Pelodiscus sinensis: one gene and its partners. The protein of the gene in region 1 purifies or fractionates together with the protein of each later gene. This does not show direct contact. Links are inferred from orthologs where the notes say so. Each region holds a gene or a part of one and is shown in the gene's direction. Other genes may lie near its edges.

Region 1 (6,870 bases):
AAACCTTGGGTTAGGCTAGGTATTATAACTCAAAAAATAGCAAACAAACTAAAGTTAAACCTCATAGAAATGTTAAGGAAGTGCAGTGATTTCTGATTTTGTGTTTACGGAACTGTTGAGGGGGAGAAGAAAGCTACCAATGTTTGACATCTTTGTTTCTGGATATAGAGAAAGAAACAGCATTGAAGATTTGTAACACCTTCATTTTGGGGAATAGGTGGGAAGAAAAAAATTTGGGTGTTGTTTTCCAGAAACTTGATTACAGGCAGTCCCCGGGTTATGTACAAGATAGGGACTGTAGGTTTGTTCTTAAGTTGAATCTGAATGTAAGTCGGAACTGGCATCCAGATTCAGCCGCTGCTGAAACTGATCAGTTTCAACAGCGGCTGAATCTGGACACCAGTTCTGACTTACATACAGATTCAGCTTAAGAACCCCAGGCATCCCCAAGTCAGCTACTGCTGAAACTGATCAGCAGCTGATTCCAGGAAGCCCGGGGCAGAGCAGCTTCCTGTAGTCAGCCGCTGGTCAGTTTCAGCAGCGGCTAACTTGGGGACGCCTGGGGCAGAGCAGCTCGGGTGCTGCTGGGTTGGTCCAGTAGCGCGGCCGCTCCTTGGCGCTACTGGACGAACCCAGCAGCACCCCAGCTGCTCTGCCCCAGGCGTCCTGATTCAGCCACTGCTGAAACTGATCAGCAGCGGCTGAATCAGGACTCCTGGGGCAGAGCAGCTGGGGTGCTGCTGGATTGGTCCAGTAGCGCCAAGGAGCAGTGCTGCGGGACCAACCGGCAGCGCCCCACCTGCTCTACCACAGGCCCCGGGCTTTGCTCCACGTCTCCCTGGTCTGCTGGGGGGGGGGGGGCACTAGCTGCGTCCCCCTTCCCCACCCCAGCAGACCAGGGAGACGCGGAGCAAAGCGGCGGAGGACCCGGGCCGGACCACGGCGCTTCCAGATCAGGGCCGCAGTCCGGCCCCGGGTCCTCCGCCGCTTTGCTCAGCGTCTCCCTGGTCTGCAGACCAGGGAGACGGGGAGCAAAGCGGCGGAGGACCTGGGGCCGGACCTGCGGCCGCTTCCAGCTGATCTGGAAGCGGCCGCGGGTCCGGCCCCGGGTGCTCCGCCGCTTTGCTCCCCGTCTCCCTGGTCTGCTGGCTCCCCCAGCAGACCAGGGAGACGGGGAGCAGCTTTTCTCGCCCCGGAGGAGGCGGGCAGCGGGACCAGGCGTCCCGCCGCTCCAGTCCTCCGGGGCGAGAAAATCCCCATTCGTAACTGCGGAGTCGGATCCGCGTAACTCGGGGACTGCCTGTACTAGCATATCCCAAAAACAAATATATGAAAGAGATTAGTTTTATTATTAGTATCCATTTCCAAGATGAGACACACTTACACTGAAATAAGAATGCCCATGCCCATGTCGGTGATGGAAGTTATACCAGTATACCTGTATTAGCGTAAGTGATCAACCTTTTTCATATAGATGACCCCTAAGACAGAAGATGGTGTGTGTGAAATGTACAGTGTCTAAAATAAGTATTCAGAATAAGACAACATCTAGAATTAAGGCAACAAAATCATATTGCAAAACTCTGCAAAGTAAGAATTGTGATCTTGGTCAAACAACACGCTGTCACTCATTGAAATAATTGTCAGCAATTCATGACAACTTGTGGTTATTGTAATTAATCATTTCATACATGGTATTTATCCCAACAGAATACTCAAAATCAATAGCACCAAAATACAGAATCTTATTTTTCGGTGAATTGAAAAAGAAATTCTCAACAGATAGTGAAATGGGCTGCTTTTGCATCAAAAAGGCCTTTCAAATTCCACCAGGGGGTAGTATTACACATACACGGATGCTAGTAACTAATTGTGATGTTATACATCTTTTCCTGCACGTTTTTCTAGTTTGAGAATAAAATTGACTGGATCTAGTTTAATTCTATGAGTTATTTTTTATTCAAGTCCTGAACCTGCTAAGGAATCCTTAACCATTGTGAATTTGAGGCAGACAAAGTTCCAATAATAGACTTGTGGGTATCAGCAAGGATATATTTCCCCAATCATACTGTAAACTCAATTAGTGATCATTTGTAATAAAACTGTGCTGAAAGGATGATATACATGAAATGACTCTATCAGAATGGCTCCGGAGAGGTGCAGCCAATCTTCATCTAAATTCTTGAGGAAGGAGGAGAGCCTGAGCCTGGGGAAATAAGGTAGCCAAGATACTAAGTCTAAATTAATTTATATTTTGAGGGTGGGGCTTACTTAACTCCACCAAAGATGGAAGAGGGGCTACAGTAGGCATCTTGAATCTGAGGCAGAGAGAGCAGAGGTGTTGGATGAAGCAATCCTGAAAGAACAACATGAGAAGCAGCCATACCTAGGGAGAAGGTTTAGGTTATTAGCTAAATTTCAAAATGAAAGGCCACTTCTAAACAAAGTTGAAACTTTTTGTTCATTTCATTTGTTTCAAAATGTCAAAAACTTTTCTTTCAGAAATGTTGAAATCAAACACGTTACCATTTCCAGTTGTTTGATTTTGGAGCAGTGAAGTCGGGATGGGGGTGGCAATGGAGGTTTGGAGGAGCAGTCCGGACAGCCCCGGGCCTGCTGTTGGGGAGGGGAGCCCGGTCCCAGCTAAGGCTGCTGCCAGCACAAGGCCAAAGGGGCCCGAAGCATCTGAGCCCCAGGAGGGTGGAGATCATGGCCTGGAGCTGAAGGCAGGGTGACATGAGTGATATGCTGATGCCACTCTGTCATCCCACAGGAAAAAAAATTATATAGAGAGAGATGACATTTTCAAAGCTAAAAAATCACTTTGTTTCATAAACAAATTCCAGCAAAATCATGCTAACTTGATTTGTGAGAGCAATTATAGATTGTTCACTTTGTGTAGGGATGGAGAACCTTTTTTCTAACATACCCACAGGAAAAAAAATCATGGGCCATACACAGCCCATTGTGGGGGTCAGAGGGAGGCTCAAGGCTCAGGGCTTCCCACTGCAGTACGATGAGATTGCTCTCACAGCTCCAGCTCTATGCGGATGGGGGTGCAGTGGCTAAGGGGGGCAGAAATGAGGGGGTCAGGTGTGGGAAAGGATGAGGATGGGGTGCAAGTTCTGGGATGGAGTGCAGATGAGGTGTTTGGGGTTCAAGAGGGAGATCGGGGCTGGGGGCAAGAGGTTTAGAATGTGGGAGTGGGCTCAAGATTAGGGCAAAGGGTTGGGGTACAGAGTCTGGTAAGGCAATAGGTTGTAGGAATGGGGTTCTTTAAGCAGAGGATTTGGGGTGAGGATCAGAGGTCTGGGAAGGAGGTAGAGCATGGAAGGTGGTTCTGACTTAGGGCAGAATTCTTGGGATAGAGACACAGAGGAGTTGGGGTGCGGGAAGGGTTTCTGACATGGGACTGGGGGTTCAGGGTGTTGGCTCCAGCTGGGTGGCACTGACAGAAAGCAGTTCCTAATTAGCAGTGCAGCGGGGCAACTCACATGTTAAAACAAACACAAAAAAACCCCTAAGTCTGTAGTCTTCCAGGTTGTGGAGTAAATCAGTTAAATTTGAACCCTAAAGACTCCACCCTAGAGAAAACAAAAGAACCTCAATATTATTATTATTATTATTATTGTGGAGTCATTGCTGTGATTTGAGGAGGTCTGACACATGATTTGGGATTCGTTGCAGCTGGCAATACTGTGGTCTCTCTACGCTCCCGGCCACGTGTGCCCAGCTGCCCCTGAGCAGAGACAGGGATGTCAGGCGTGGGACTGCGCGAGGCCGGGCGTTCCATGGCGCGCGCCCTTCCGGCCCCGCCCCCTGGGTTACGCATATTGAGCCCGGCCGGACCTTCCCTGACTTTACCCTGTTGCTAATGGCAACAATCCTGAGCAACGGGAACTCGGCGCGCGATTACCGAGCCTGGGTCCCAGCACTCAGGCCCGGTGTTATCTCGCTCCGGGCTCGCTCTCGCTCTCGGCGTTGGATTAGTCGTGCCCTCCTCGCACCCCGCAAGTGTTGTTGTGGGAGGCAAAATGGCGGCGGCGGTGGTGGCCGGGGCTGCCCTGCTGGGCAAGGGGCTGGACATCAGCCTGGCGGCGCTGCAGCGGCACGACCCCTACATCAGCAGCATCGTGGACGTGGCCAGCCAGGTGGCGCTCTACACCTTCGGGCACCGCGCCAACGAGTGGGTGCGTGACACCCCCCCCCGGGCCGGCAGCGGGGAGACCCCCCCCCTCCGCGCGCGCACGCATACAGGTGGCGGGAGGGAACCTAGAGATTCCCCCCCCCCCCATCTCCATGGACAAGTGGGGGAGGCCGGGCAGGGCAAACAGGAGGGAGATCTCCCTCCCCCGACGCGGAGAGAGCTTGAGGCGGGGAGCCCCCCCCCCAACACACACACGTGGGACGTGCGGGAATTGGAGGGTCTGGGGAAGGGGTGGTGGCTGAAAGTATTGGGGAGGGGGGTGTATCTATTTTCTTTAACTTATAAAATATGCTCAGTTATGAAGTAGGGATGTAAAACCCCATTTAAGTAGTTAACTGATTTAAAGGGGTGGGCAGCTGCTCCAGCCCCCACCAATTCAGCGGTTTAAACCATTCACCTTCCTAATAGGAAGGCCCACAAATCCACTGTGAAAACCCAAAGCAGGGAACAGTAAAAAGTTTCCACAATTTAAGAAAGGGCGTTGGTTCTCTCTGGCACAAATTCTGCAACTAAGCACCAAACAAAAGTTGTTGAGAGGATAGGTGGGAGAAAGAAACGGTGGCCCTTCATTTCCACCCCTTCCATGCTGGCCAATGAACTTGAAATTCATAGTGGTGTCTATTCAGCAGCATCTGCTAAAAGCAAGTTCTTGCCCTTACCAGGATATAGTGTAAATGTACATTGTTCATGAGTACAATACAGTATTATATGGAAACTGTATTGTCACTGAAATGTTCTATGGCAGTGTTTCTCAACTTTTTTTTATAAAATACAATTTTTTTTTAAAAAAAGGGGTAAGTACACCCAGTACGTACGGTTTTCAGACACTTTTTTTTTTTTAACCATTGCAACGCATTTATTTAAACAACTTATTTGTAGTCAGGCGGGTGATGACATTTTTGGGTGGTAAAAAGTACAAAAATAATAAAATGTTGTAAAACTTAACAAATTCAGTTTTCTCCAAATTTCAGTTGTTGACATACCTCCCCCTTGACTTCTCTTGAGTATCCCTAAGGGTACTCATACTGCTGGTTGAGAAACATAGCTCTATGGGGTGGTGTGCGTGTATACTAAGGATGTGAATGGGTAACCAATTAATTGTTGCCCATAGGCTGCAGGTGAGGAGCTGCTCAAGGAGGTGGGGGGGGGGGGAATAGTGGGGTAGAGGGCTGCCCCAGCAGGGCTGGGAGCTGGTGGTGGTCGCAGTCCCAGAGCTGGGAGCTCACGTAGTCAGTTAACCAATTAAATATTAGGTTAGATTTTATATCCCTAGTGTGTATAGTTTTTGGAAGAACACCATATAATTTCAAAATTACCAGTGATGTGGTACTAATGCTCAAGAAGCAGCAAATATAACACATTTTCCTAAGATATAGAAGCCCTGATCTAGTAAAGGATTTAAATATGTGCTTAGCATGGTGAAGTTTGTGGGACTTCTCATGCAATTAAAGTTAAGCCCATGCTTAAGATCTTGTCTACATATGGGATGCTTGTTTCCGGCCAATAGGAGCTGAGGACTGGGCTGGAGGTAGGGTAATCACACACAACCTCCCGGTTGCTCCAAAGCAGAGAGCCACACAAAGCAGGCCTGTGCTTAAAACAGTGGCTGCTGTGTGCTTGAGGGTCCTGGTAGAGTGGTCCACAGGCTGGATCCAGCCCACAAGATGTATCTTGCCCACCCCTCATGTAGACTGTGGGTGAGCAAAAATTTTTGATAGAGGGGCCACTCCAAGATTTTGGTAAGTGGTCATGGGCTGCACTTTTCTATGGAGGAGGTCCAGGTTTGAAATAGAGATTGGGTGCAGAAGGGAGCTCAGAGTAGGGAACTGGGGTGCCGAAAAGGGTTTGGGGTCTGAGTGACTGTTGGGGTGAAGGAGAGAATAGTGATCTGTGGAAGAGGATGGGGTGAAGGGTTAGGGAGATGGTATGGGTTCGGGAGAAGATTCTGACCTGGGGGATGGCTGTAGGAGCAGGTGCAGGTCTGGAAGGGGGTGAAGTGGCAGGCTCTGGTCAGAAGGTGCATACCTAAGCAGCTTCTGGCCAGCAACACACTCAAACAGGCTTCCCAGCCTGCCAGTAGCCCCCAACTGGCTGTTCCATGTGGTTCTGTGTGCTGCGGGGAGGTGGGAGTGAGAGCGAGGGCTTCACACACTGACTCCACCACCAGCAAAATCTCTCAGCTCCTATTGGCTAGAAACCAGCCAGTTGGAGCGGAGAGATTTTGCTGGGGCAGGTGCAGGTTCCAAGGCCTCCCTGCTCCAGAGGATTTGGAAAATCTAAAGATTTTCCATCCATGAGTGGAGTGAGTTTTGTCTTGTGCACCAATATTGAGGTCATGTGTGCTTGTTCAGGTGTGTGTCACCATGACATCCACCAGTTACTCACAGATATCTTAGATATATATTCAAAGGGGTAGCCGAGTTAGTCTGTAACAGGGAAAACTTAAAAAACAACAAATAGTCTAGCAGCATCTTAAAAACTAACAAAACATATAGATGGTATCATGAGCTTTTGGGACACAACACACTCCTGTCATCTGAAGAAGTGGGTTGTGTCCATGAAAGCTCGTGATATCATCTACATGTTTTGATAGTCTTTAGTAGCACCTTAAACTCTTTAGCTGTGTCTACATTGGTGCGATCTTGCACCAAAGTGGCCGCTTT
Region 2 (7,438 bases), on another chromosome or scaffold:
CCTCTCCCCTTCCCCTCTCCTATTTATTTGGAGTTTTCATATCCCCAATTCATAACTCTGGTCATCTGAAGAAGTGGGCTGTGCCCACAAAAGCTCATGATCCCATCTACATATTTCATTAGTCTATAAAGTGCTACCAGTGTTTTTAACTTTCTCCTGTTAATCAAACTTTGTTTTAAATAAAGTAAAATGTTATGTCCAACACAACAGGTTTCAATGTTTTCGTTATGGGAGAGGTGAGGAACCCTTTTTGAGCCTGGGGTTACTGACCTCCCCTCCAAAAAATCTGGGCTTCCCATAGACCAGATTTACTGTTCTGGAGTTAGTGGATTTTATGGACCTCCTTAGGCTCTGGGATAGGGACAAGAATGAGGAGTACAGTGCGTGAGACAGGGCTGCCAGCGAGTGAGGTAGGAATGGGGTGCAGGATCTGGGTGGGAACAAGGGTGCAGAAGCAGGCTGGGAGTAGGGTGTGTGGCCAGGAGGAAGGAGCAGGGACAAGGGAGGGGATTGGAGCAAGTTGGGGGTTCTAGATCTTGGGGAGGGGTTCTAGATCTTGGGATGGGGAAGTGATGGGATTGGGGTGGGGGGTCTGGACATGAGGAAGAACCTTACCTGGCTTTGTGCCCCCTTGCAACAATGGCTGCCGCCATGCGATCCAGGGATAGCCCCAAGGCACACAGCCTGGGGCCAGCCTCTGGGGCCAATGGGCACAGGCTGCCCCAGAGGTGCTGCAGCCCGGGGCAGGTCCTGGAGGCACCACAGACAGAGGCCGCCCCAGAGGCACTGCTACCATGGCCATGTGGCTTGGGGCCAGCCCCAGAGGCACTGCAGCCACGTGGCCCCAGGCCACTCCAGAGGTGCCACAGTCTGGGACTGGCCCCAGAGGTGCTACTACCACGGCCATTGTGCCAGCCCTGGAGATGCCGCTACTGTGGCCAGGCGGTCGGGGGCCGGCCCTGGAGGTGCTGCCATGGCCGGGTGTCTCCAGCCTCTGGGGATAGCTCCAGACCACATGGCCATGGTAGTGGTGCCTCCGGGGCCGGCCCTGTTACGGAGCCTCAGCCCCAGGCTCTGTCCAGTGCTTCCACTTTGAAATGAACAAGAGCCCCCGCGGGGGACGTTTCAAAGGCGGAACGTGGCAGTTCTCGACTAATCAAATAGTCAATGGAAATCCTATTGACACTTTGATTAGTTAATTAATCGAAATTTAGCATCCCTAGTACATACCAGGTCAGCGCCCAGACTACTGTACTAGGCAACATAGTATAGGAAGGAGATGGGCAGCCCTCAGTGGAAAAAGAACAGGATAACTATTTAGAAAAGCTAGACATACACAAATCCAGGGGGCTGGATTTAATGCATCCATGGGTGCTGAGGAAGTTGGCAGATGTTTCCAAAGGCTCTGCAAGGACTTGTGGCGATCAAAGGAGGTCCCGGGTGCTTGGAAAAAGGCATATGTGGTGCCCATCTTTTAAAAAGGGAAGAAGGACAATCCAGGGAACTACAGACTGCCCGGTCAGCCTCATGTCAATCCCTGGAAAAATCATGGAAGGGATTCTCAAAGAATCCATGTTGAAGCACTTGGAAGAGGGGAAAGTGACCGGGAATAGTCAGCATGGATTCACCAAGACCAAGTCATACCTGACCAATCTGATTGCATTCTATGACAAGGTACCTGGCTCTATGGACAGGGGGAAGTCAGTGGATGTGATAGACCTCGACTTTAGCAAAGCTTTTAAAACAGTCTCCCACAATATTCTTGCCAGCAAGTTAAGGAAGTCTGGATTGGATAAATGGACTGTAAGGTGGAGAGAATGCTGACTTGATGTCTGGCTGGAAGTCGGTTTCTAGCAGAGTGCCCCAAGGATCCATTCTAGGGCTGGTTTTGTTCAACATCTTTATTAATAACCTGGATGAGGGGATGGATCACACCGTCAGCAAGTTTGCAGATGACCCTAAGCTAAGGGGAGAGGTAGATACATTGGAGGGCTGGGACAGGGTCCAGAGTGACCGAGACAAAGTGAAGGATTTGGTCAAAAGAAATCTGATGAGGTTCAACAAGGACAAGTGCGAAGTCCTGCACTTGGGACGGAAGAATCCCAAGCATAGTTACAGGCTGGGGACCGACTGGCTAAGTAGCAGTTCGGCAGAAAAGGACCTGGGGATTGCAGTGGATGAGAAGCTGGATATGAGTCAATAGTGTACCCTTATAGCCAAGAAGGCTAATGGCATATTAGGCTGCATTAGGAGGAGCATTGCCAGCAGATCTAGACAAGTGATTATTCCCCTTTATTCAGCACTGGTGAGGCCACAACTGGAGTATTGCATCTAGTTCTGGGCCCCCCATTACATAAAGGATGTGGACACATTGGGGAGAGTCCAGCGGAGAGCAACCAATATAAGTAGGGGGGCTACGAGGCGAGGCTGAGGGTTCTGGGCTTGTTTAGTCTGCAGAAGCAGAGAGTGAGGGGGGATTTGGTAGCCTTCGGCTCCCTGAAGGGGGATTCTAAAGGGGATGGAGAGAGGCTGTTCTCAGTGGGGGCAGATGGCAGAACAAGGAGCAATGGGCTCAAGTTGCAGTGGGAGAGGTCTAGGTTGGATATTAGGAAAAACTATTTCCCTAGGAGGGTGGAGAAGCGCTGGGATGGGTTCCCTAGGGAGGGGGTGGAATCTCCATCCCTAGAGGTTGTCCCAGCTTGACAGAGCCCTGGCTGGGATGATTTAGTTGGGGTTGGTCCTGCTTTGGGCAAGGGACTGGGCTTGATTTTTCTCTTTCAACCCTGTGAGTTGATGATTCAGAGCCAGGAGAGGCAGGAAGCTGACTTAGCACCCCTGCTGCACCGCTGACCGGGAGCCGCTCAAGGTAAGCCCCTCCTGCCCCAGCCCAATACCCCAAAGCCAGAGCCCCCTCTTACTCTCCACAGTTGAGTTGCGGGCATCAATAATTTTCTTCGACTGGGTCATGAGAAAAAAAGTTTGAAAATCACTGAACTAGTTGCTCCCTGACCAGCGAAATCAAGACAAGATGGGACTGCAGCGGAGAAATTCTCATGGTTAAGTCAAGGTAGAAACCAGGGAGGAAACCCTGGGACTTCTCTCCCTAGTTCAGCCAAATCCTGTGCGTATGTCTGCAGTGCACTAAGAGCTGTGGCTGGCCCGGGGCAGCAGACTCAGGGTTTTGTGCTGTAGGGCTGTTGCACAGCAATGTGGACAGTTGGGTTTGGGTTGGAGCCCGGCTTTTGAGTCCCCGGGGGGTGGGGAGGGTACCAGAGTGCAGACTCCACTTGAAGCCTGTGGGGCTACGCTGCAATCTTATGGCCCCAGCCTGAGTCAGATGGCCTAGGTCCCCATGTGCCCTAGATGCATGAGTGGCCCTTCAGAAGCAAGGAAAGGACCCAACATTCTCTTTGACATGGTACCAGAATTTCCCCAAGGGGCTTAGGTGCTGCCGCTGCTGGTCTTGAAAGACCCCTGAGCTGGATGGGCCAAGGCCCGTCCAGGCAGGTGCTGCTTTCGCAGTGCAAGGCCCAGTGCAGAGATTTGGATTAACACGAGTGAGCTGCAGATCACGTCTCCACGGGGGCAGTACAGCAGCTGCCTCCAGGTGGGAGCCTGGATGCAACATCTCTCCCAGGAGCAGTGCGGTAGGAGCCCCAGCACGGCACCTGCACAGGAGGGAAACGAGGCAAGAGCTTGTCCCCCCGACTCCCAATAGCTTCACCCCGCAACAATACCGTCAACCCCTCTTCTCCCAAGGTCGTCTGCACCCGTAACAGCCCCCTACCCTGCCCTATGTAATGGCACCCCCAGAACAGCCCCCCATTAATGGGACCCCCACCCCATAACAGTCCCTCACCCACCATATCAATACCCCTGCCCCGTAGCAACAGCCCCCGTCTGACAACACCCCACCCCATAACAATACCCCTACCCCATAGCAACAGCCCCCGTCTGACAACACCCCACCCCAAACAATACCCCCTGCCCCGTAGCAACAGCCCCCGTCTGACAACACCCCACCCCAAACAATACCCCCTGCCCCGTAGCAACAGCCCCCCGTCTGACAACACCCCACTCCATAGCAACAGCCCCCGTCTGACAACACCCCACCCCATAGCAACAGCCCCCGTCTGACAACACCCCACCCCAAACAATACCCCCTGCCCCGTAGCAACAGCCCCCCGTCTGACAACACCCCACTCCATAGCAACAGCCCCCGTCTGACAACACCCCACTCCATAGCAACAGCCCCCGTCTGACAACACCCCACCCCAAACAATACCCCCTGCCCCATAGCAACAGCCCGCCCAGCACCTGCGGGCCGCGCCCCTCCCACATGGCGCTCGGGGGGGGGGGGGTCTCGCCCCCGGCCCTGGCTCGGCCGGAACGCGGCTGCCCGGGGCTGGTTTCCGCGGGGGCCGGCGGCGGCCGGACCGGAAGCGGAAGTGGAGTCGGCGGGCCGGGCTCGGGAGCGGGGCGGCAGAGCGGGAAGCGGGCCCATGGCCTCCGCCAGCATCGACATCGAGGACGCGACCCAGCACCTGCGGGACATCCTCAAGCTGGACCGGCCGGCGGGTGAGGGCGCGCCCGGCCCCGCCCCGCCGCGCCCCCTCCCTCCCCGCCTCCGTGCGCGCGCGCCGGGGGCGGGGCTGCCGCAGGGGCCGAGGCGGGAGCTCGCTCCCCTCTGGGAGACGGGAGCGCGCCGGGACCGCCCCCCCCCGGGCTCGGGCTCGGCCTCGTGCGGGGAGACCCTGGATCTTCCGCCTAGCCAGCCCCGCGTGTCCCCCCCAGTCCTGCCCGGCCCCCCCCCAACACCGTCCAGTTCTGCCAGCCCCCCCCCCCGCCACTGTCCACTCCTGACAGGCCCCCTCCCAGCCCCCCCCCCCGCCACCGTCCAGTTCTGCCAGCCCCCCCCCCCCGCCACTGTCCACTCCTGACAGGCCCCCCCCCACCCTCCCAGCCCCCCTCCGCCACCGTCCAGTTCTGCCAGCCCCCCCCCCCGCCACTGTCCACTCCTGACAGGCCCCCCCCACCCTCCCAGCCCCCCTCCGCCACCGTCCAGTTCTGCCAGCCCCCCCCCCGCCACTGTCCACTCCTGACAGCCCCCCCCCACCCTCCCAGCCCCCCCCCCCGCCACCGTCCAGTTCTGCCAGCCCCCCCCCCCGCCACTGTCCACTCCTGACAGCCCCCCCCCCACCCTCCCAGCCCCCCCCCGCCACCGTCCAGTCCTGCCAGGCCCGTTCCCATCGCGGGCAGGTTACATTTTCAGACACCTTTGTGCTTCTCCCCACATCACCACCGGGGGGGGGGGGGTGCTCCCTTTGAACACCCCATTCAGCGACCTCATTATCCTGCCGTCAAATCTCTCCTTGACTCTCAGCAGGGAACTTGGTGACTGCAAGGCTGCTGGAGTGCAGAGAGCCTTGCTTGTCTCATGGTTTTCCTTGTACCTCCTCCCCCTCCCCTCCCCCGTCTGTATTATACCGCTGTTCTCTCTCATTTTATATGGCATTTGTAAGCTCCTCGGGGCGGGGGTTGTTTCGTCGTTCTGTGCCTACCACAGTGAGGGATCCTGATGCATGCAGTGAAGGCTTCTAGGTGCTACAGTAATACAAATGAGATCACAATAATTAATAAGATCTTAACTGTACATCTGCACCTGCTGCACCTCCAAAGCCCCAGCCATTTCCAGCTAAACTCTGCCTAGCCATGCTACGGCAGCCACACGCCTCTCTGGGAAACAGTTCCAACATCTGGGTAGTACTCGGTATCGTGGCGTCTGGGACAGGAGCACCCTTGGATTCCTGGCCTGCGCTGCTCCACTCCTGGGCTGGGCACCGTGTGCTTAGACTCTGACTCCATCCCAGCATATTGGGTGCTGTCTTGATCCATACAGAGCCAGGGTTTCTGTGGGCCTTGGCGCCAGACTGAAATCAAGGTTGCCCTCAGTCTGCCTCCCTGCAGCCCCGGGACCCCTGTTCACCTGCTGGGGTGGGCCGCAGCGAGGCGAAGCGTGTGTGTGTGTTGCGCTTGCCATGGGGTGTGGGAGGCCCAGTGAAGCTTCCTTTGTGCAGCTGAGACGCTCACGTCGGAGCCCTGTCGGAGCGGAGCTCCTCGCGGTCCCAATGTGGCTCTTTGATAGCTTTGCGTTGTGCAGGTGCAGATGTGGCTGCCCATGCGAGTGACTCTGCATCCTGTGAATGTTAAAATCAGCGAGGGACGGTTCCCAAACGCCTGATCCGGCGTAATCTCATCAGGTTTCTAGCCTCTCCAGCTACGTTCTCTCCTCAGTCTCTGGTTGGGTATGTAAGTGAAGAGCGCTGGTTTGGCAAAGGGTTGTATCGGCTTCTGTTTTCTAATAGTCAGCTGCCAGCTAGGGCCTTCGAGCGACTGCGGGCGTCGTCTGATGTGCTCATCTAATTCCCGCACCATTTTAGGAAGATGGTAGTAGGCACGTGGGGGTGGGCTGACTGCACAGTCAACCCTGCTGGATTCGCTCTCTGTACAACGCTTCTGTTTAGTGGTGTAGAGCTGACCATTAGTGTCCCTGACGTGCAAAAGCTTCCGATTGTCCAAGTAATCTGGAAACAACTGCCCTCCTGGTTTGTACAGGGAGGCCTTCTGTTTCAGCTTTCCTGGTATGAGCCAAAGGATGCTTATTAATCTCCACCTGTGGGCTGTAGGAGTAGGGATGGTAACTATCGGTTAATTGAATAGTCAAGTAACCTCATGAATTCTTATCAGCTACTGGACTATTCTGTAGTATCCGGGGGCGGGGCTGACAGCCAGTGCACTCTGGTCCCACTCCTGAAGAGCCCCCTGCCACTCTATACTGCTGCCTCTGTATCAGAGGCAGCGGCGCGGGGTGCCAGGCGGGAGCTGGTCCTCAAGGGAAGCCAGTCTAAAAACCAGCTCCCCTCACGGACCAGCTGCCTGTCGCCCCGAGCTGCTGCCTCTGACACAGAGGCAGCAGCACAGGATGGCACTGGCCCCTGTCCAGGAGGGAGCTGAGCTCAGCACAAGCCGGAACTGAATGGGTCTGCTGCCCACCTGGCTCCTAGTACACTTTAAATGCAGAGCCGCAGCAGGCGTAGGTCCCAGACCCGTTGCAAGGGAGGAATGAGCCGGCTGCTGGCCAGCCTGCTAAAAAATTTACTGGCGGGGGGTGGGGGATGCGTGTAGTCTATAGTTAATCAGTTAATCAACAGCACTATTACATCCCTATTTCTTTGCTGTAGTAAGAGGGCAGGTGGGGGTTGTCGGGAGAGGAAGGGTGAGCAAGGGACTATCGGTAGAGCCTTGTATGGATTCAAAATTTGTATCCACGTCTGTATCCTCAAAGGTGAGCCGTGGATAGTTGCAGATTTGCAGGGCTCTGACTGTAGAGGTCAGATGAAGGTTGGCTTGAGCTTCTTAACGGACTTCACTAGCTTAT
Region 3 (7,213 bases), on another chromosome or scaffold:
TTACAAATGGAAACTCCCAAGTGCTATTTAGTCAGTTTTTCCATTTTGCCTTTGAGAGTATAGACTGTGACTTGTAACACCTGTAAATATTAATAAGCTCTTCACATTGTAAGAATTCTAATTGAGATATCATGATATCATGAACTGCACATTTAAAAGATAACTGAAACAGCAACTTTATTTCAATAAGAACAAAAAGTCTGTTTATTCTAAATCCCAGTATTTGGGCTCCACATCAACTTAGAAAACCTATACATTTAGAAAAAGACTCCATTACAGTTTTGGAAATTAGAGTGATGGTGGCCAGAGAGGGAAATGTAGTTCTGGTGAACAGAGTTGGATTAATGGTCTGACCAGTCCGTTCCTCTTTTTTATCTGCTAGGAACGGGAGCCTATATAGGAAGATCCCAGGTGGCTGTACCTCTGGCATACACCAGAGATTATCATTACATCTTCATTTACTTCCTCAAAAGAACTTCATTTACTTCCTCCAGGGCTATGTCTACACTCGCGGCTTCTTGCGTGAGAAATATGCAAATGAGGCTGTGTGGAATATCCCCGAGCCTCATTTGCATACCTAATAAGCCACCAATTTTGCAGGAGAGGCTCTTGCACCACAAGGAGCTGTCTACACTGCCCCTTCTTGTGCTAGAAAAACCCTCTTGGCAGCAGTGTGGGGGGAGGCGGAAGCTACCTCTCCCCCCACAAGTAACTGTTGAAACTTTCACCTGTTACATTTTACTTAAATAAACACATTTTAACATCCCTACTGCACTAATAAATTATACCTAGTGTGGGAATATGTTAACAATATCCAGAGAGAGGGTAATGCCCTCCAAGGCAAGAAAATCAATTCTCCTTGCCCTTTGGTGTCAGAATAATAGAAAGAGATCCTAAAAGTTTTCTCCAGCACATCACTGGTATAGAACTGCAAGGTCCAACAGCACCTACTGAACTTATGCTGGAGGTTCACCCTTAACAAAACTCTATGGGTGAAAATTTCAGATACAGTAAACCAGTGGTCTCCAACCTTTTTACCCCCCAAGATCACTTTTTAAATGTCAGAACAAGCCAAGATCTACCGCCCCATCCTTCTCCCAAGACCCCCACCCCTTCCTTAAAGCCCCGCCCTCTCTGTTCTCCTCTCCATCACTTGCTATCCCCAGCCCTTATACACACTCAGGGTATGGCTACACTGCTGCTTTGTTTTTTTAAATTCTTCTGTATGAAGAGGTTTTTCCAACATTTTGCTATCTAGATTGGGCCAAATATCCTTGTGGAATGAGGAATAAAGGGGTTACCGAAAGAGCATGGTTGCTCTTCCACTAAAAAAAGTGGAAGAACAAATGCGTCCCCGGATGCGGAAGAGTTTTTTCCGGGATACCTCTGGAGTCCCAGAAAAACTCCGGCAGTCTAGCTGTACCCTCACTGGGTTGACAGGATGTGTGGGCTCTAGGGTGGGAATGAGGGATTTGGGTGTGGGAAGGGGTGAGACGTGCAAGCTCTGGGAGGTAATTTATATGCAGGAGGAGGTGGAGATGGGGATGCTGGCTCCAGGTTGGGAAGTTTTTGGGTCAGGTGGATGGTTGGGGTACTGAGCTAGCCATAGGCTTGTGGATGTGAGGGTACAGGAGTTTGGGTTGAGGTATGTGAGGGGCTCAGGGCAGGGAGGTTGGGAGTATGATGGCACCAGGACACAGATTTGCAGTGTGTGGATGGTGCAGAAGTGTCGTGGCGGAAGACTGAGGATGTGGGGGTGCAGGAGTTTGGGGATGTGAGAGGCTCAGGACAGGGAGCTCCAGTATATGATAGGCTCAGATCTAGGGTCTGGGGTGGGGTGGAGGTGCAGGAGTGTTATGATGCTGTGGCCAAATGGGGGCTTGGCCACAATTGGAGGGTTGTTGGCCAGGCTTCATTTTTAAATAAAATATTATGTCAAACACAAAAAAGTTTCAGCATTGTCTTTATTTATGAGAAGGGCAGGGAACCTGTTTTGAGTCAGGGATCAGTGACCCACAGAAAAGTCAGTTGGGGCCACAAGTGAGATGCAAAAAAAAAATTCCTCCAAAACCCTCCCCAAGCCTCACTAATATGGCTCCAACTGTGCTGGTGGGAGCAGGGGACATGGTACTGGGGAAAGGTGCTAGTGGGTGCTGAGGCAGAGTGCCAGTGGGGGCAGGGAGTCTGCGACACATGCCTCCCCCTGGGACTCCTATCCCCTCTCCCCCTGCCCGGTGCACCTCCTCTGGGAATGGACTCCTACCCCCCACCCCCCAGAAGAGGAGGGAAGCTCCAGCAGGCGCCTCCTCCCAGGACTCCTCCCCACTCCTACAGAGGAGGAAAGCTCCGGCGCGTGCCTCCTCTGGGGACTCCTCCCCCTCAAAGAGGAGGGAAGCCCCGGCATGCACCTCCTCTGGGGATTTCCCCCCAGCAAGTCCTTGGCACACCACAGACCTGGGTTGTGGTGCCACGCCGGCTGTTTGGGGGAGAGGGAGCAGCCAGCGCACTTCCTGAAATCCTGAAGTGGCGCACAGCTGCTGGACTTCCTTCCACCCCACAGGAAGCCGGAACTACCTCCATTGTTACTAGAGGAAGGTAGTGGGGCTTCTTGGGGGTGGAGTGAAATGGGGGGCCCCCCTGAACGCCTTGTGATCAACTGGTTGAGCCCTCCCAATTGACCAGTCAATTGCGATTGACGGGTTGGTGACCACAGAAGTACGCAGTGCCAGTCTTTGACGAAATGGCACCCCAAACAAGGGATGTCTTTAGTGCCCCTTTCCAATCGTTAAACTTTTTTTTTTTGCATTTGTACCCCACTTCACAACTTCGGAGCATGGGTGGCACGTGTGCTTTATTGGTCATATAAGGTTGACTGGCAATGCCCTGCCCCTTATATACACCCATAAGGGCATGTCTGACAACTTCTAGGAGGTTTGAGGAAAATGCAGTTATCAGAAAGTCTGGAAGGTTAAAACAAGATTCTACAAAAGATCCAGAACATTCTAGGAGGTTAGTAAAAAAAATGAATCCACATACAGAGTACCTGTGTTTAGCATTCTATTTTCCCTTTTGCAACTAACAACAAAAAAAAGCACCCGGCCCCCCTGGAAGTTACCTAGGTCACCTGATTCTAAATTAAGCCCTGACTGTACTTACAAACTTGCTTTTCCTGTATTCCCTGCTGTCTTCAGAAGCTTCTTCTGGGGCCCTGTCATGCAAAATTAAAAATCGTTTGACTGTTAAATTGTTTGGTACTTTATTAATGATGCGAGGGTATCTTAGTAAATAATGGTTTAAAAGGAACAGTGCAGCTAAATAATTAACAAAATACTATTTGGTTAAGTGAGAGAGCATAAAAGGAAGGCATGGAGAAAATGTTTCCCTTGAGCAGAACAGCTAAGTGCTAACCCATGTAAGAATAAATACAGATATGAGAGAGATGGACATACAAATTTGAGTATAAAGGATAATTACTTCGGGAATATATTCAAGCTTTTGTCTACTAAATTACCATTTTCTATTATGCAGATGTGTGTTGTTAAAAAACTCAATTTTCTTTTTAAAATAATCTGATTTAAAACTTTTTTTCATTCACCTTCAACTGTTTCCATATTATTTTTTGCCATTGATGTTCAATATTTTTTCCAGCAGAGATTTAATACAGTGTTATATTATGAGGGCAGCAAAACTTGAAATATCATTTGTAAAACCTATTTGCCGCCACAACTGTTCGTTTGTAATGAAGAACAGAAAGAGCACGCTGTCAGCTCCTCCTCGCGTGCTGGCTGAGACTCCGTAAATTACTAAGTCGAAGGGTTGTTCAGAAAGTTATTCCCGGCAGTCGCTAATTTTGACACTTTCCTCCCGGGGGAGGGGAACAACCCCTGCGTGTCCAGTCGGCACCGTCTCACCCAGGGTCCCTAGACGAGGCTCGAGTCTCTCTCGGGACCGACTTTGCTGTGAGCGTCGCAGGGCCGCGGGCAGCGCCTGGCTCTGCACGGTCCCGGCCTGAGGCGGGCGTTCAGCCGCTCACGGGAGCCGGGGCCACGGCGCGAGCTGCGCCTCAGTTAGACGGAGCCCACGAGGGAGCCGCGCGCGCAGCCGGGGGGAAGCGGAGGGCGGGAGGCCGCGAAGCGCGCGGCAGCTTCTGTGACGCGGAGGGAGGAGGCGGTGCTGGGGGCCCCTGTAGAAGAAGCGGGCGGCGAAGAGCGCGGCAGGGAAACGGCCGCGGCTGAGCGGAGGCGGGTCGAGCCCTGCGGCAGCCCCCTCCCTTCCGCCTGACCAGGCGGGCATGGCCGGCCGGCGCTGCGGCTCCTCGCGGGAGCGGCTGAGTGCAGGTGACGGCGGGGGCGGGGTGACGGCGCGAGGCGTCCCGGCGGCTCGCAGCAGCGCTGAGGTAACGGGGGGCGGGGCCTGGCCGCGGCCCGGCCGGGAGGGGGAGGGCGCACGGGAGGAAGAAGGAAGCCGCCATCTTGGAGCGTCGAATCGCCATAACAAGGCACCAAGCGGGCAAGTGAGCGGTTCCTTAGCGCTGGGAGAGCGGGCAGCCCAGCCGGCGGCGGGGAGCAGGCTCCCGAGGAGCGGCTTTGGGGACAGGGCATGGGGCCGCGCGGGCCTGGGCGGCCGCTTCTTTGGTGAGGCCTGCGGCCTTGCCCCGCACTAGGGGCTGGGCCTGGCCTTGCGGGCGGCCACTCGAGCCCGGAGGCGGCGGGGGGCGCAGTGCGGGGAGGGGTCTGGCGGGTCTCACCCCCCCCGCATGGAGACCGGTGTGTTCGCTGCCCCGGAGGGGCGTGTTACCCAGGGCGCGGGCGATCGCTGCTGCGGGGGGCGGCGCTGCGGTGTGTGCGGGGGTCATGTGGGGGGGAGGCTTGTATCTGGCAGCCTGACCTTGAGGGCGGGGGGGGGCGGCGCTGTTGTATCTTTTAGGGGCCCTGCCCGGGGGGCGGGTTGGGCGTCAGGGGAGCACCGCCCCCGCGGGGTCTGGGGCCCGAGCGGCCGGGGGTGTCTTTTGTTTGCCCGACGGATGGTGCCCGCTGATGTTGCGCAGATACATTTCTAGGGTTTATGGACGTTTGCTGTTAGGCCGGGCGCCCGCCTTTCGGAATCGCCCCCTTTCCTAAGCACTGCAGAAACTGCATCGGACTCACACCAAAGCTTGGTGGTGAAGCGCTGTCAGTCCCGGGCTGAGCCCCATGGCGAAGTGGGAGGGAAGCAATAAATGCTTAAGCTGCTGCGCTCCATTGTTTGGTTCGGAAAACGAGACCTTTTTCTGGTGTGTAGAAGGATGAGACTATGGCTGACATTTCTGAACTGATTGGAGCTTCAGTGAGGGCTTTTATGGTTAGAGGAGATGTAGGTCGGTTCTGGGGCAGCTCACCTCCGCCTACTAATGAGGTCTTTGCTAAGATGCAAGGGAGTAGTTTTTATAAACAACGAAAGAGTGATTCCTGGGATCTCTTAAAAAGTGTCCCCTCCCAGTCTTGTTTTTTCTTGTAGCGTTATGTGCTATCTTTAGGCAAAAATCAAAGCTCCCAGGGAAAAGGAGGATGTTCACTGCAGAAAGGGGAGTGGAAATAATATAGTTAGTGGCAGCGGCTTCCAGAGTCCTGCATACGTGGTCAAAATGAAGAAAGGAAATGCTTAGAAAAGGGGGAGGGGGAATGTTGAGGTTTGCTAGTAAAGAGCACTAATTTTTTAAGCTGTCCCTGAAGTTTTAGGTTTGTTCAGATTTATTAAATATTGTTTTACTCTATAACATAATCTAATGTTTTTCCTGTGAGTGTTAAGGAGTGCAAAGGCATGTTGTCAGGTAAAATAGCATGAAAGTAGGTTATTAAACAGAGCCTTAAAAAATTCAAAATTGAATTTACTTCTTGCTGTAACTCCCTGTTTATATGTTTGCTGCTTCTGGACTAGCTATATGTTTCAATTTTTTTTTTAGTAGTAACATAGAAGGGAAATGTCTAAATCCAAATAGTGTTTCTCTTGACTTCTTAAACATTCTAATACTTAAAGCATTTCATTAAAATGATTTTTGGATGTATAAGTGTCCCTGTAAATTAAAGGTACTTGAAAATGATCTGTGTCAAAATATTTCACCTCAAAAGGTGTGCCATGTAAAATGACTTGACAGATATTGGAGGAGGTATTTAAACATGGTTTTGTGCAGTTAGCAGTACTTCACATACTAATTTTAACGGTTTCCCTTCCATAGTCACTTGCTTTGTCTTTACTGTGAAATACAAGTAAAGGAACTGAGGGCTGATTTAAAAAAAAGACAACTTGGTTGTAAAACAATAGACATTGTCAGACTCAGAAGCAAGTTGTTGTACTTAAAACTACTTAGAATTGCTCTTGAAAGTGACTAGATAATGTCCCTTTAAGGAATGTTAGTATTTGAATTATATAGGTGATTTTTTTTTAACCTTGGTATGGACAAGGTATCAGGTAAACAACTTCTTTATAAGAGTTCAGTGATCAGCTAATGCCACCTTTTGTTTTGCATTTATTTTATACAGTGCAGTTCTTTGTAGTGGTGATACTGTAAGTCAAGCCTGTAAATCCTTTCCCCCTTCCTTGTGAGGGAGGTAGACTTGTTAGTAACAGTTCTAGGGTTACTTCACAGTAACTTATCTTGTAGTTGCACTTCAGTAATTTTCTATGAAGAGTACAAGTCATTGTGTTTAGCAAACAAAATATCAAACCATTATAATACTTTCCCAATATTGTCACTAAATTTTGAAGCTTCAGGGGGTAGCTGAGTTAGTCTGTACAGGGGGAAAAAAACACCAAGAAATGGTCTGTGGTAGCACTTTATAGACTAACAAAACATGTAGATGGTGGTATGAGCTTTCATGGGCACAGTCCACTTCTTCAGTCATCACTTCTCCACCCCGGTCATCTGAAGACGTGGTTTGTGCCCACGAAAGCTCATAATACCATCTACATGTTTTGTTAATCTATAAAATGCTACCAGACCATTTGATGTTTTTTTACTAAATTTTGAATTGGTTTTGTATGTACTTATTTTCTGAGGGCAACAGGCAGGCGTTTTAGTGAGGAAAACTTTTTTGAATTTATCTCAAGGTGTTAGCACAATTAAAACATTAAGAAGGGAGTCTCTAAGACTTGTCAGATTTGCTGTCTCAGATAAGAAAACTGAAGTATTGTAAGTAGTTGTTTACCTTTCTTGAATGAAATAAAACAGGAAGTT

What was found. Proteins that work in one complex are often made in the same cells at the same time.
Region 2: the proteins of DCP1B (region 1) and EDC4 purify together in Homo sapiens (affinity purification with mass spectrometry; 3 studies listed by BioGRID and IntAct, with this or other methods). This does not show direct contact. The link is inferred for Pelodiscus sinensis from reciprocal best matches to the Homo sapiens genes DCP1B and EDC4.
Region 3: the proteins of DCP1B (region 1) and DDX6 purify together in Homo sapiens (affinity purification with mass spectrometry; 6 studies listed by BioGRID and IntAct, counting the BioPlex papers as one, with this or other methods). This does not show direct contact. The link is inferred for Pelodiscus sinensis from reciprocal best matches to the Homo sapiens genes DCP1B and DDX6.

The regions. Positions count from the first base shown.
Region 1 is NC_134711.1:109,170,477-109,177,346, reverse strand, and holds the start of DCP1B (mRNA-decapping enzyme 1B), read left to right. Parts: upstream 1-3,859; 5' UTR 3,860-4,034; coding exon 4,035-4,190; intron 4,191-6,870. UniProt on the Homo sapiens protein: May play a role in the degradation of mRNAs, both in normal mRNA turnover and in nonsense-mediated mRNA decay. May remove the 7-methyl guanine cap structure from mRNA molecules, yielding a 5'-phosphorylated mRNA fragment and 7m-GDP.
Region 2 is NC_134722.1:46,923,267-46,930,704, forward strand, and holds the start of EDC4 (enhancer of mRNA-decapping protein 4), read left to right. Parts: upstream 1-4,422; 5' UTR 4,423-4,502; coding exon 4,503-4,578; intron 4,579-7,438. UniProt on the Homo sapiens protein: In the process of mRNA degradation, seems to play a role in mRNA decapping. Component of a complex containing DCP2 and DCP1A which functions in decapping of ARE-containing mRNAs. Promotes complex formation between DCP1A and DCP2.
Region 3 is NC_134736.1:597,376-604,588, forward strand, and holds the start of DDX6 (putative ATP-dependent RNA helicase DDX6), read left to right. Parts: upstream 1-4,197; 5' UTR 4,198-4,337; exon of another isoform or gene 4,338-4,396; intron 4,397-4,410; exon of another isoform or gene 4,411-4,634; intron 4,635-5,126; exon of another isoform or gene 5,127-5,272; intron 5,273-7,213.